3 linked regions of the Sus scrofa genome follow. The protein of the gene in region 2 interacts with the protein of the main gene of each other region in a pairwise test. Links are inferred from orthologs where the notes say so. Each region holds a gene or a part of one and is shown on either strand. Other genes may lie near its edges. The genes, in order: STAC3, MAB21L3 and AGGF1.

Region 1 (2,565 bases), on a different chromosome or scaffold from region 2:
CTCTCACTCGGTACCTGTCGCAAAGGGCTGGGGCTGGGGGCCGCGTAGGAGGGGTTAGACCCCCGGCCTCGCTCGCTCAGTTCCCGGAGGACAAGAGGAAGTGTTGCCATGGAGACGGCACGCACCCCACCCCCTCCCAGGCCCAGGGTCTCTGGCTTGGTGTCTCCAGTTCTCGCTTCTCCCCCCGCCCCTCCCGTCCCTCGCACTCCAACCGAGATCTTGTATCGCCCCCTGGCGGCCCAGCTCGGAACTGCGCCAGGTTCGGAAATGAAAGGGGCTGCCAGAGGCTTAAATCGCTCGTTAAGAGTAGGGGGGCACCTACCTTGCTACAGGATCCTGCTCCTCGCGGCTCAGAAGCAGTGACACCAGTCCGGCACCGTTTTCTTCACTGACCGAGGCCTTGCCTGGCGGACGCACCCGTCTCCCCACCTCGCACCAGCCTCAGCCCAGGCGGGTCTAATTACCCAATGGTAATTAGCTGAGACGGCTGGAGAAGATTCTCCGCCCCTTTGTGGGCCCTCTCCTTTCTCCCCTCGGCTCCCAGTTAAACAGCAAACTTTTCTAACTTCTGTCAAAACTTTAATAAATTCGCAACATTGGACACTTCGCCTCAACCCCCCTCTCCTCGGGACGCCTCCGAGTGGAGATGCCTTCTTTTTCCAGCTCTCAAAGGCTGGGCTTGAGGGGTTGCGGGTGAGGCTGCTCCAGGCACCAAGTCTGCGACGCCCTCCGAGGGGGAGGGGGGCGGGAACCAGTCCCTTCCCAGAAGCCCCGTCACGTTCCGGCGGGCCTTCCCACCTCTCCCCCACCCAGCGGTAAAGTTGCTTTCGCCCCTTCTCTTCCCAACCTCCACTGGGCCTGCCCATAGTGGGGTTTGGGTATCTCCCGCCAGCAGGCGTCTGCAAGCCTAAATCTCCTCTAGAAAGTCGGTGGGGAACAGCCCCATCTTGCGGCCGGTGTAGACCTTGACGTAGCCGCCGGCTTCATCTCCTTTCTGCACCACAATCTAAAGGATGAAAGGATGAGAAGGGAGGAATCAAGAGAAAACAGAAGAGCTGAGGGGGGAGTTCTGAGTTTTGGAGGCCCGATCTAGTCCCATTAATGGGTGAAGATCTGCAAAGAAGATGGTTTGCAGAGAAGCCTCTGCGCCTGGGGTTGAGTTGGGGCACCAGAGCTACCTGGTCCTTCTTGAGAGTGATCTGCCCTATCTCGCGGTTCCCCACGAAGGATCTTGTTACACGGTGCACTCGCTCTCCAGACCGGACCCGAATGATGAAATTTGGAGGGAAAAATCCAACCTTCTCCCCTATCTTCCCCTAGAGGACATGGTAAGCAGAATCAATCTCACAATCTCAAGTCCTAACTTAACCCATGTCCCACCTGAGACTCAGCCACTTCTCTTACCCGCCACCACTCCTCATTGGAGTCATCAATGACGGTGATCTTCTCTCCAGGCCTGGGAGAGGAAGGAAGAAGCCTCTGAGATTTAGGGGCCTTATACATCTAGTCCCTTGGCTGTGCCCAGGTCCAGCCCCAAATAGGCTCCAAACCCTGAATCCCCCCTTTTCCTTTCCCATAGGGAGCTGGGCTCTCCCCTCTCCACTCCCAGTACACCCCACCCCGATCCTAAGGCCTCTCACGGGAAATCCAGATCGTCCTTCTCCAGGGCTTTGAACCGATAGAGAGCCACAAAGTAATGAGACTGCTGGAAGCCAGGCTGCTTGTGCTGGGGGTGAAAGGGGGTGATGAGTCTCAGAGCTCCTCTGTCCCACACTGAGGGGCAGGAGGCCAAGACAAGGGCATTTGCTAGACACACTACATTCCAACTCTCCTCCATGTCCCTGAACTAAGAGGAATTTATTGGTTTGCGTGTGTGAGGTGGTGGAGAAGGCAGGTTAAGGGTGATTGGGAACCCATGGAATAAATGTGAGCTTCTGCTAAGGCCATGAGTGGTGTCAGACCTGGGTTGGGGAGAGGACTGGGGTCCACATAGGGAGAAAGATTCTCAGATTCTCACTTTGTCATCAGGTGTCTTCTTTTCAGCTTTCTTATCTCCTTCAGGGTTTCCTGGAATGGGAAACACCAACAAATTGTCTCTGGCTCCTGGAGGTAGCCCTCAATCTCTTATCCTTCTATTCCAGGGACTCTTTTCTCAAACCTGAGATGCCCTTTGCCCGCCCCCCGCCCCCAATCCCTTGTGGCACAGCTGAGCCTCAACACTCCTCCATCTCTGGATGGAGGCAGGTGTCACTCACCATCCTGGGGTTTGCCTTCCTCTGGTCTGGCAGACTCTGGCTCCTCTTCCATCATAGCTGCTAGAGGCTGGAGGGGGCACCAGAGTTAGGAAGATGCTGTCTTGGAAACCCATGCTTGCTCTGACTCTACAGTCAGGCCAGAGAACTACAGAATAGTATCTTAGGGTTGGAAGAAGCCTTAGGGGAAATATCTAGTCAACCATCTGCCAAATGCAGGGACTTCCTCTGAAACATCCGGGCAGTTGGCCACCCACATCATGCTTCAATATAGTTGACAGGACGCTCACTACCTTGCAAAATCCATGTCTGC
Region 2 (3,753 bases):
AAAAGTTCGCTGAGAACTTACTATGTACCAGGCATTGTTGGAGGCTTGGAGTTGCCAGAGATCAGGGAAGGGGGTTTAGCAAGATGTGAGCCTGCCCAGAGTCGTAAGGGGATTTAAGTACAACACGGATGGAAGTTCCTGGTGAAATGAGAGCCTCTGGGATCCAAGTTTGGGAAACTGGCTAGTGACAGAAATGGATTTTTCAACAAAAGAATTTCCCAAGGAGTGAGGTTTCCAGCTGAGACTTGAGAGTGTTTTCAAGGAAGTCTAAGTCACATAACTTCTAAGCCTCCCTCATCCTCTGCTTTTAATTACATCAATAATTAAAATTAACAGGCTAAAACCTGTTATCTCAGGAGAATAAGCTTGTCATTATCAGCAAAGGGACACATACTCATTTTCTCTTGCAAATACTCCTTCCCTTTATCAGATGAGCCATATTTCAAAGTCCAGTCCAAAGACCAGGCCTTCCCCACAGCCACCATTTTTTTTTTTTTCACATTCCTTGTTAAACTTCTTTATTTGTTACTTAATAACTTTTTTAGCTTTGGAGTAGTTCACAATATTCTCCAAAGGATAGTTTAAGTACCCTCTAAAGTCTTCACAGCATGAATTTAGTTTTAGAATCAGAGATTTTTTTTTTCTCTTTCTCATGTTCCTGTTCTTTACTATGAAATGTTAATAATACCATCTTTATTCTAAGTCCTTGTGCTGATTGCTAAGTAATGTGTATGTAAACCTCCAGTTGCCAAGTAGGAGGGCTTCAGTAATTTCCACTACCTAGAAATTGCCAAAGATTTTCTTTCTTTCTTCCTTTCTTTCTTTCCTTTCTTCCTTTCTTCCTTTCTTCCTTTCTTTCTTTCTCTTTTTAGGGCTGCACCGGAGGCATATGGAGGTTCCCAGGGTAGGGGTCTAATCGGAGCTGCAGCTGCCAGCCTGCGCCACAGCCACAGCAATGCCAGATCCGAGCTGCACCTGCAACCTACACCACAGCTCACGGCAACTTGGGATCCTTAACCCACTGAGTGAGGCCAGGGATGGAACCTGTGTCCTCATGGATCCTAGTCGGGTTCATTAACTGCTGAGCCATGAGAAGGGAACTCCAATACCCATAATTTTTAAAGGTTTTTTTTTTGTTTGTTTGTTTGTTTGTTTTTTTAATGTGAACTCTCCTAGTGCCATATTTTTATCCAGAAAATGGAATTGATATGGAATGTTTCACAAAAACACATTTTCAGTCTGCTCCAGTTTATGTGCCCCCTATTCATGTAATTGAAGAAATAAGACATTTATAAGACCACTTCCTTCTTCTTTATCGTCCTTGAAGCTCCCTCCCCCCTTTCCCCTCCCACTTTCCCGAGGAATCCTGGTTTGGGGAGGAGGCTGTAGGCTCCTGGTGGGAGGAGAGGAAGGACTATAAAATCCGTTTTCTCTCCCCCCTCGGACAACAGATCTTTCTTTCCCTTTTGGAACCAACTTGGAAGGGTAAGTGAGTTGGGGAGAGGTAGTTGATGGTGGGGTGGGGGGAGTCAGGAAAGGTGACTCCCCATTCTCCAGGCTGTAGGGGGAGAGGGTGATTCTTGAGACTTCCTTCTGGCTGTGGGTGTGCTCAGGAAGAGTGTGATCTGCCCAGAGCGTCATCTGTGTTTAATCATGGAAACCCAAGGAACGAACAGGAAGCAAATTCAATTCCACATTATGTAAACCACCCTTAAGGTTGATGGACAGGTCTCCTTGTTTTGAGGACAAACAAATATTACCAGGTTTCTATCTTAATTGCTCACATGGGTTCTACCCCTCGCCCTTTCCCCTTTCTGCTCTTAATACTCTCCCTGAGCAACCTCAGCGCCATCCACTCTGAATAGTGAATTTTATTATTTGTATATTACATCTTTTCCTGATTTTAAAAAGAGCAGTCTATTAATTGTTAGGGGAAAAAACAATGAAAAAAAGCTAACATGGAAAAAAAATTCGATGTACTCCCGCTACCCAGAGAAACCACTGTTTCTATTTTAACCTTTGCTCCATGTATGGACAGTGTTTGTGATCTGCTTTTTTCCATTTGTCAACAGTATCACAAACATTTTCCTGTTATGAAATATTCTTTTACTGTGTACTTTTTAAAGGCCGCAAAATCTTCCATCATATAGATGGGTTATAACTCGTGAGCCAGCGTCTAGTCATTTAGTTTCTGTCCATTTCTCCCTCTTATAAAAACGCACCCAGAGTTGGCCCATCCCTCCTGTTTCACTTAAATTTTAAGATGCAGACTCATTGGGTCAGGGGGCATGATTTTTTAAAATTTTGATGAAAATCGTCCTGTCCGTTTGCACTGCCATTGTTAACACATGAGGGCCATATTCCCCAGAGGCTCCTAAGCATTATCACCGTTTCCTAATATTTTGCTAAATTACCAACTTGGGGGCAGGGCGAGATGAAGGGAGTACCTCCTCATTCAATGTTCATGTTTTTGTAACTTAGAGATGAAATAGTGTTTACGTTTCTTAACCACTGGTATTTCCTCAATGGATTGTCTTCTTGGGTTTTCTGCTTATTTCTATATTGTGAAATTATGTTTTCTAATTTTGAAGGTTTGAGTTTTTATGTAGCTAAAGTTTTCAGGACCTTCAGCACATGTTCTTCATCTGTACACATTTAGATAAATGTTCATCCCTTTTTTTCTTCTGGTTCCTTTTGTGATTTATTTTTATATTGAACACCTTCATTTACTTGGAATTTATTTTGGAATATGAGGGGATATAGGGGCCTGGCTTTATTATTTTTTTCTCAATCTCTGCACATTTTTCTTTCTTCTCAGTCGTTCGTATTGTCCCCACAGATTAAAAATGCCATCTTTATCTCAGAGCCTGTAAGGATCCAGAGCTCACGCATGGTCAGGTTGTTTGGGCAGAAGAAGGGAAGTGGGTGGGAGGGATTGGGGCTTGAGAAGGCATTTAATAAGGAGACTTCCACTTTATAGGTAGATTGTGTCAAACACACGTTTTAAAAAAATCATCAGAAAAAAATGACATATTTTCATTCGTACAGTCTGGATGTATGGGCCTTAGAAGTGTTTTCTATATTTTTCTAGTGCTCTATAAAAAAATTTTACAAGAACTGTATATTCCCTGGAAGTTTAAAAAAACCACCAGTATGAGTTCCTGCTGTGGTACAGTGGATTAAGAATCTGACTGCAGTGGCTTGGGTCACTGTGGAGGTGCAGGTTCAATCCCTTGCCCTGGGCAGTGGGTTAAAGGATCCGGCATTGCCACAGCTGTGGTTCAAATCCAATCCCTGGCCCAGGAACTTCTATATGCCACAGGTGCAGCTGTTAAAAAAAAAAAAAATCTCTGGTAAATTGAGCCTGGCATCTTCTTAACAGTTTTTATCATTTCTTCTATAGGGGTTTCTCTTAAAATGTTCTGACTTCTTTTGGGTCAATTTTCCTCATTAATTTTTTTTTCTAGGATATCATCCACTTTTTTCAGATGTTGAATTCATTAGCATATGGTTTGGCAGAGTAATCTCTATCTATATCTTTCTGATCCTATTTTGTATATTGTAATTGTCTTCTTTTTTACTTGATGAGATTAGCTAAAGTGTCTGTGTTTCTCTTGCTTTTAATCATTTTTAAAGAATTTCCAAGCACTTAGAATTACTTTGTATATAATCATTATTTTTTGTTGTTGTTTTGCAATGGTCAAAAGATGCAGTAAGTATAATTTGTTTTAGAATATTTAAGATTCTCTGCCA
Region 3 (3,753 bases), on a different chromosome or scaffold from region 2:
GGTACAACCACTATGGAAAACAGTATGGAGGTACCTCAGAAAGCTAAATACAGAACTACCATATGAACCAGCAATCCCACTCTCAGGCAAATATCTGGACAAAACTTTAATTCAAAAAGATACATGCACCCCTATACCCACTGCAGCACTATTCACAATAGCCAAGACATGGAAACAACATAAATGTCCATTGATAGATGAATGGATTAAGAAGATGTGGTATATATACACAGTGGAATACTACCAAGCCATAAAAAGAACAAAATAATGCCATTTGCAGCAACATTAATGGAACTAGAGACTCTCATACTTAAGTGTAGTAGGTCAGAAAGAGAAAGGCAAATACCACATGATATCACTTATACCTGGAATCTAATATACAGCACAAATGAACCTTTCCACAGAAAAGGAACTCATGGACCTGGAGAATAGACTTGTGGTTGCCAAGGGGGAAGGGGAGGGATTGGGATGGACTGGGAGTTTGGGGTTAATAGATGTAAACTATTGTATTTGGAGTAGATAAGCAATGATATCCTGCTGTATAGCACTGGGAACTATATCTAGTCACTTGTGATGGAACATGATGGAGGATAATGTGAGAAGAACATATACGTATGATGGGTCACTTCGCTATACAGTAGAAACTGAAAGAACACTGTAAATTAACTAATGGAAAAAATAAAAATCATTAAAAAATACAATTATAAACGAGTTTTTTTAAAGGTTATCCTTATAGCAGAAATTGCCACATTGTAAATCAACTACACTTTAATAACAAAATAAAAAATAAAGGCTATTCTTTTTAGTATCCCTTTCCCCAGGTATTTTAACCATATTTTGTAGTCTCCTAGCCCAGTCATCATGCATTGCAAGTGTTCAATAGCTGTTGCAAAAACAAACAAATTTTCTATAATGTCATGTTAACAACTCTACACAATGGGCACAGGACGTCACTGCAACTCCATGGTTATTTTCATAGATTATTTGATAACAGAGCATAACAAAGTCTGATGACGTTTGTATGTCCAGCCTACACAAGGGGTTTTAGGAAATGTACCGGTAGAGTACAAAGGACAAGACGACAGCCCACGTGAAATTAATAATTAAGTGTAAATAACTTGTCGAGAAAAAGTGCAACTGATCAACAAATTAGAAAAAATATTAGGCTCCTGTTTAAAATTTGAAAAAAAGTGGGTCTAAGTATTTGTTCATATTGTATTTTATGAAAACGAAATTGGCAGCTTAGTGTCTCAAAGACAGTTTTATCTTCCCTTTCACCAGACAACTCAAGATAAATGCCCAAAACAACCTCACACATATGTGGCCTTCAAGACTGTGCAAAACCGTTAACAGTTTGTTCAGGCTTTATCTGATTTAACCTTCACCAGTATGGTTCCAGCGTTCTCATTTACTGAGGATCAGTATTAGTTCACGCATCTAGTGAATAATAAATGGAATTCTGATTGAAATCCGGCCCTTTAACAAACCCAAAAGTGGGCTAGAAGAAAACATTACAAATGTGCCTGCTGCCAATGGGACTTTACAAGGGAGAATGAAGTCTCAAGTAATTGCAGCTCACCCACTTAGTCTAAATCGAGTACCCGAACTCTTAAATGTTTGTTCCAAATGTACTTGGAGTTATAATCGCACTAAACTTTTCATTCTCTGGGATACTCTACAAAGTAGTCCTGAGCACTGCCAAGGAGCCCTTCTGAGACTATCGGAGACTTTGAAGGCCTCGCCTTGGGCCGGATGGGGCGCGGGGCTGGAGAAGGATCGAGCACCTGGGTGCGGAGCTCCTGGTTATTGCTCTCGGCGCTCTGGTACAGCCGTTCTGTGTGATGCAACAGCTTCTCGATCTCCCTCACTTGCCGCTTGCAGCTCCGCAGCTCGCGTTCCAACTTCTCCACCTTCCGCCTCAGCTGGGCCAGCTCTGGCTCGGGAGAGGGAGGCGGCGACGGCGACAACGAAGGCGACGGCGCCTCGGAGGCCATGGGTCCGGCGCGAGACGGCCCGTGGGCGCGGAGGAGCTGCACTCAGGCTGAGGCGGACGCCGGTTGGCCCAGGAGCCACGGGAGCGCGCGAGCAGCGAAAGGCGGCCTCATACCCACCCGGCCGCGGCGGCCCCTGTCCATGACGCCCAAAAGGTTATCTGTAGCCAAGAGGCACTGCGGGCAACGAGCCAGGGGACGGAAATGGGCACGGCCCAATCCGCCCGGCTTTGAAAAGTAAAACTTTATTGGTAACAACCTGCCCCAGTGACCGAATAAGCGGCAGAAACGCCGGAGATAGGAAAGACCAGAGAAAACGAGGCCAGAAGCTTTCCGAGATATCCGTCCGTTTCTGGGCTGAGCCGGAAACGATGGTGCCGGCGGTGGGCGGGGCCGAGACGGGAAAGGAAGCGACGGGAGACGGGAAGGGCCTCACGATGCACATGCGCACTTCTCCTGTCTGCGCGGTTGAGGGGCGGGGCTGTAGGTGTTGTGCAGAGCTGGTAGGAAATCTTCTGTTGTTGCCCGGGAGAGATAAAGGGAAGATGGCTGGCTCCTCTTGTGGCCTCAGGCTTTGTACCCTTTGCCACTTTCAAAATGTTTTCAAGCTTTTTGGCACGGAGTGTACTTCCTAGCTCCTCATTTTACAGTTGAGAACAGTGACTCTCCAAGAAATGATTTGCCAAGGTGTATAGAATTAATGTTAAACCGAGACTGGAAGGATGTGTTCTCATGCTCTGTCACTTACTGATTCTGCGCCTTCCGTGAGTTTAGGTCCCCAGGAAAAGAAAGCAAATTCTTATAGGTCAGACTTGAAAAGAGGAGCATTCCCGGTAGAAAAATAAACACGATTCTGTCAAAGCAGAAAAGAAAATTTATCTGTTTCGGTGTGTCTCTTTGCTTGGTGTTTTGTCTCCATGAAACTGGTATTTGTTCACAGGCTTTTAAACTGATGAGGGCTTTTTGGAACGCACTTCCTTCCTTAGCCAAGATCATTAAAAATCAGAGCCTGAGCTTGGAATGCTGAGTCTGGGACCTCTGGAGGTCCTGTCCTTGGAACGCATTTCCTTCCTTAGCCAAGGTTATTCAGAATCAGAGCCTGAGCTTGGACTGCTGAGCCTGGGACCTCCGGAGGTCCTGTCCTTGGAACGCATTTCCTTCCTTAGCCAAGGTCATTTAGAATCAGAGCCTGAACTTGGACTGCTGGGCCTGGGACCTCTGGAGGTCCTGTCCCAGGGCCCAGCACTGGCCTGTCACAGAGCAGGTATCCTTAAATATGTGCTGAAAAGAAGAATCCTGTTTGATGCTCTCGTTCAGTGACTGCTCTGTGTGCTTTTTTGTCCTGTGCACTGCCCACAAGTTAAGTCTGTGTGTGGTGAGCTCTCCAACGGGGACCTGCCCTTCCTATGTCCTACACTCATTATATCTTAGGCTTTAAGAGCCCTTCAGCAAGGCACTCTACACTCAAGTAGACACATTAGCCCATGGATGGCTCTTCTCTTTTACTGTTTTTGTTTTTTGATTTTGGGTTTTGTGTTCGTGTTGTTCCATAGCCCCAGTCCCATTAGCTCCTTTCTGCCACTATGGGCACCCACCCTCATGTGTCTCATATATGTCCTTAAATATAAATCTGTTCTCATCCTATGCTTTGTGTGTGTGAGATTCTTTTACACTAAGTGGTATTTGGTTTTAAATCTTACACTGTTTCTTATTTTTTCCACACTAAAGATGTTTTTAAAGTTTATATACATTGCTCTCTATA

The links.
Region 1: the proteins of MAB21L3 (region 2) and STAC3 interact in binary tests that used the Homo sapiens proteins (3 or more experiments, as listed by UniProt). The two-hybrid records come from large-scale screens. The link is inferred for Sus scrofa from reciprocal best matches to the Homo sapiens genes MAB21L3 and STAC3.
Region 3: the proteins of MAB21L3 (region 2) and AGGF1 interact in binary tests that used the Homo sapiens proteins (3 or more experiments, as listed by UniProt). The two-hybrid records come from large-scale screens. The link is inferred for Sus scrofa from reciprocal best matches to the Homo sapiens genes MAB21L3 and AGGF1.

Annotation. Positions count from the first base shown.
Region 1 is NC_010447.5:22,548,446-22,551,010, forward strand, and holds the end of STAC3 (SH3 and cysteine-rich domain-containing protein 3), read right to left. Parts: intron 2,323-2,565; coding exon 2,256-2,322; intron 2,068-2,255; coding exon 2,018-2,067; intron 1,727-2,017; coding exon 1,641-1,726; intron 1,457-1,640; coding exon 1,405-1,456; intron 1,317-1,404; coding exon 1,179-1,316; intron 1,007-1,178; coding exon 908-1,006; 3' UTR 563-907; downstream 1-562. UniProt on the Homo sapiens protein: Required for normal excitation-contraction coupling in skeletal muscle and for normal muscle contraction in response to membrane depolarization. Required for normal Ca(2+) release from the sarcplasmic reticulum, which ultimately leads to muscle contraction.
Region 2 is NC_010446.5:104,648,601-104,652,353, reverse strand, and holds the start of MAB21L3 (protein mab-21-like 3), read left to right. Parts: upstream 1-1,066; 5' UTR 1,067-1,485; intron 1,486-3,753.
Region 3 is NC_010444.4:85,889,070-85,892,822, reverse strand, and holds the start of AGGF1 (angiogenic factor with G patch and FHA domains 1), read right to left. Parts: upstream 2,401-3,753; 5' UTR 1,995-2,400; coding exon 1,785-1,994; intron 1-1,784. UniProt on the Homo sapiens protein: Promotes angiogenesis and the proliferation of endothelial cells. Able to bind to endothelial cells and promote cell proliferation, suggesting that it may act in an autocrine fashion.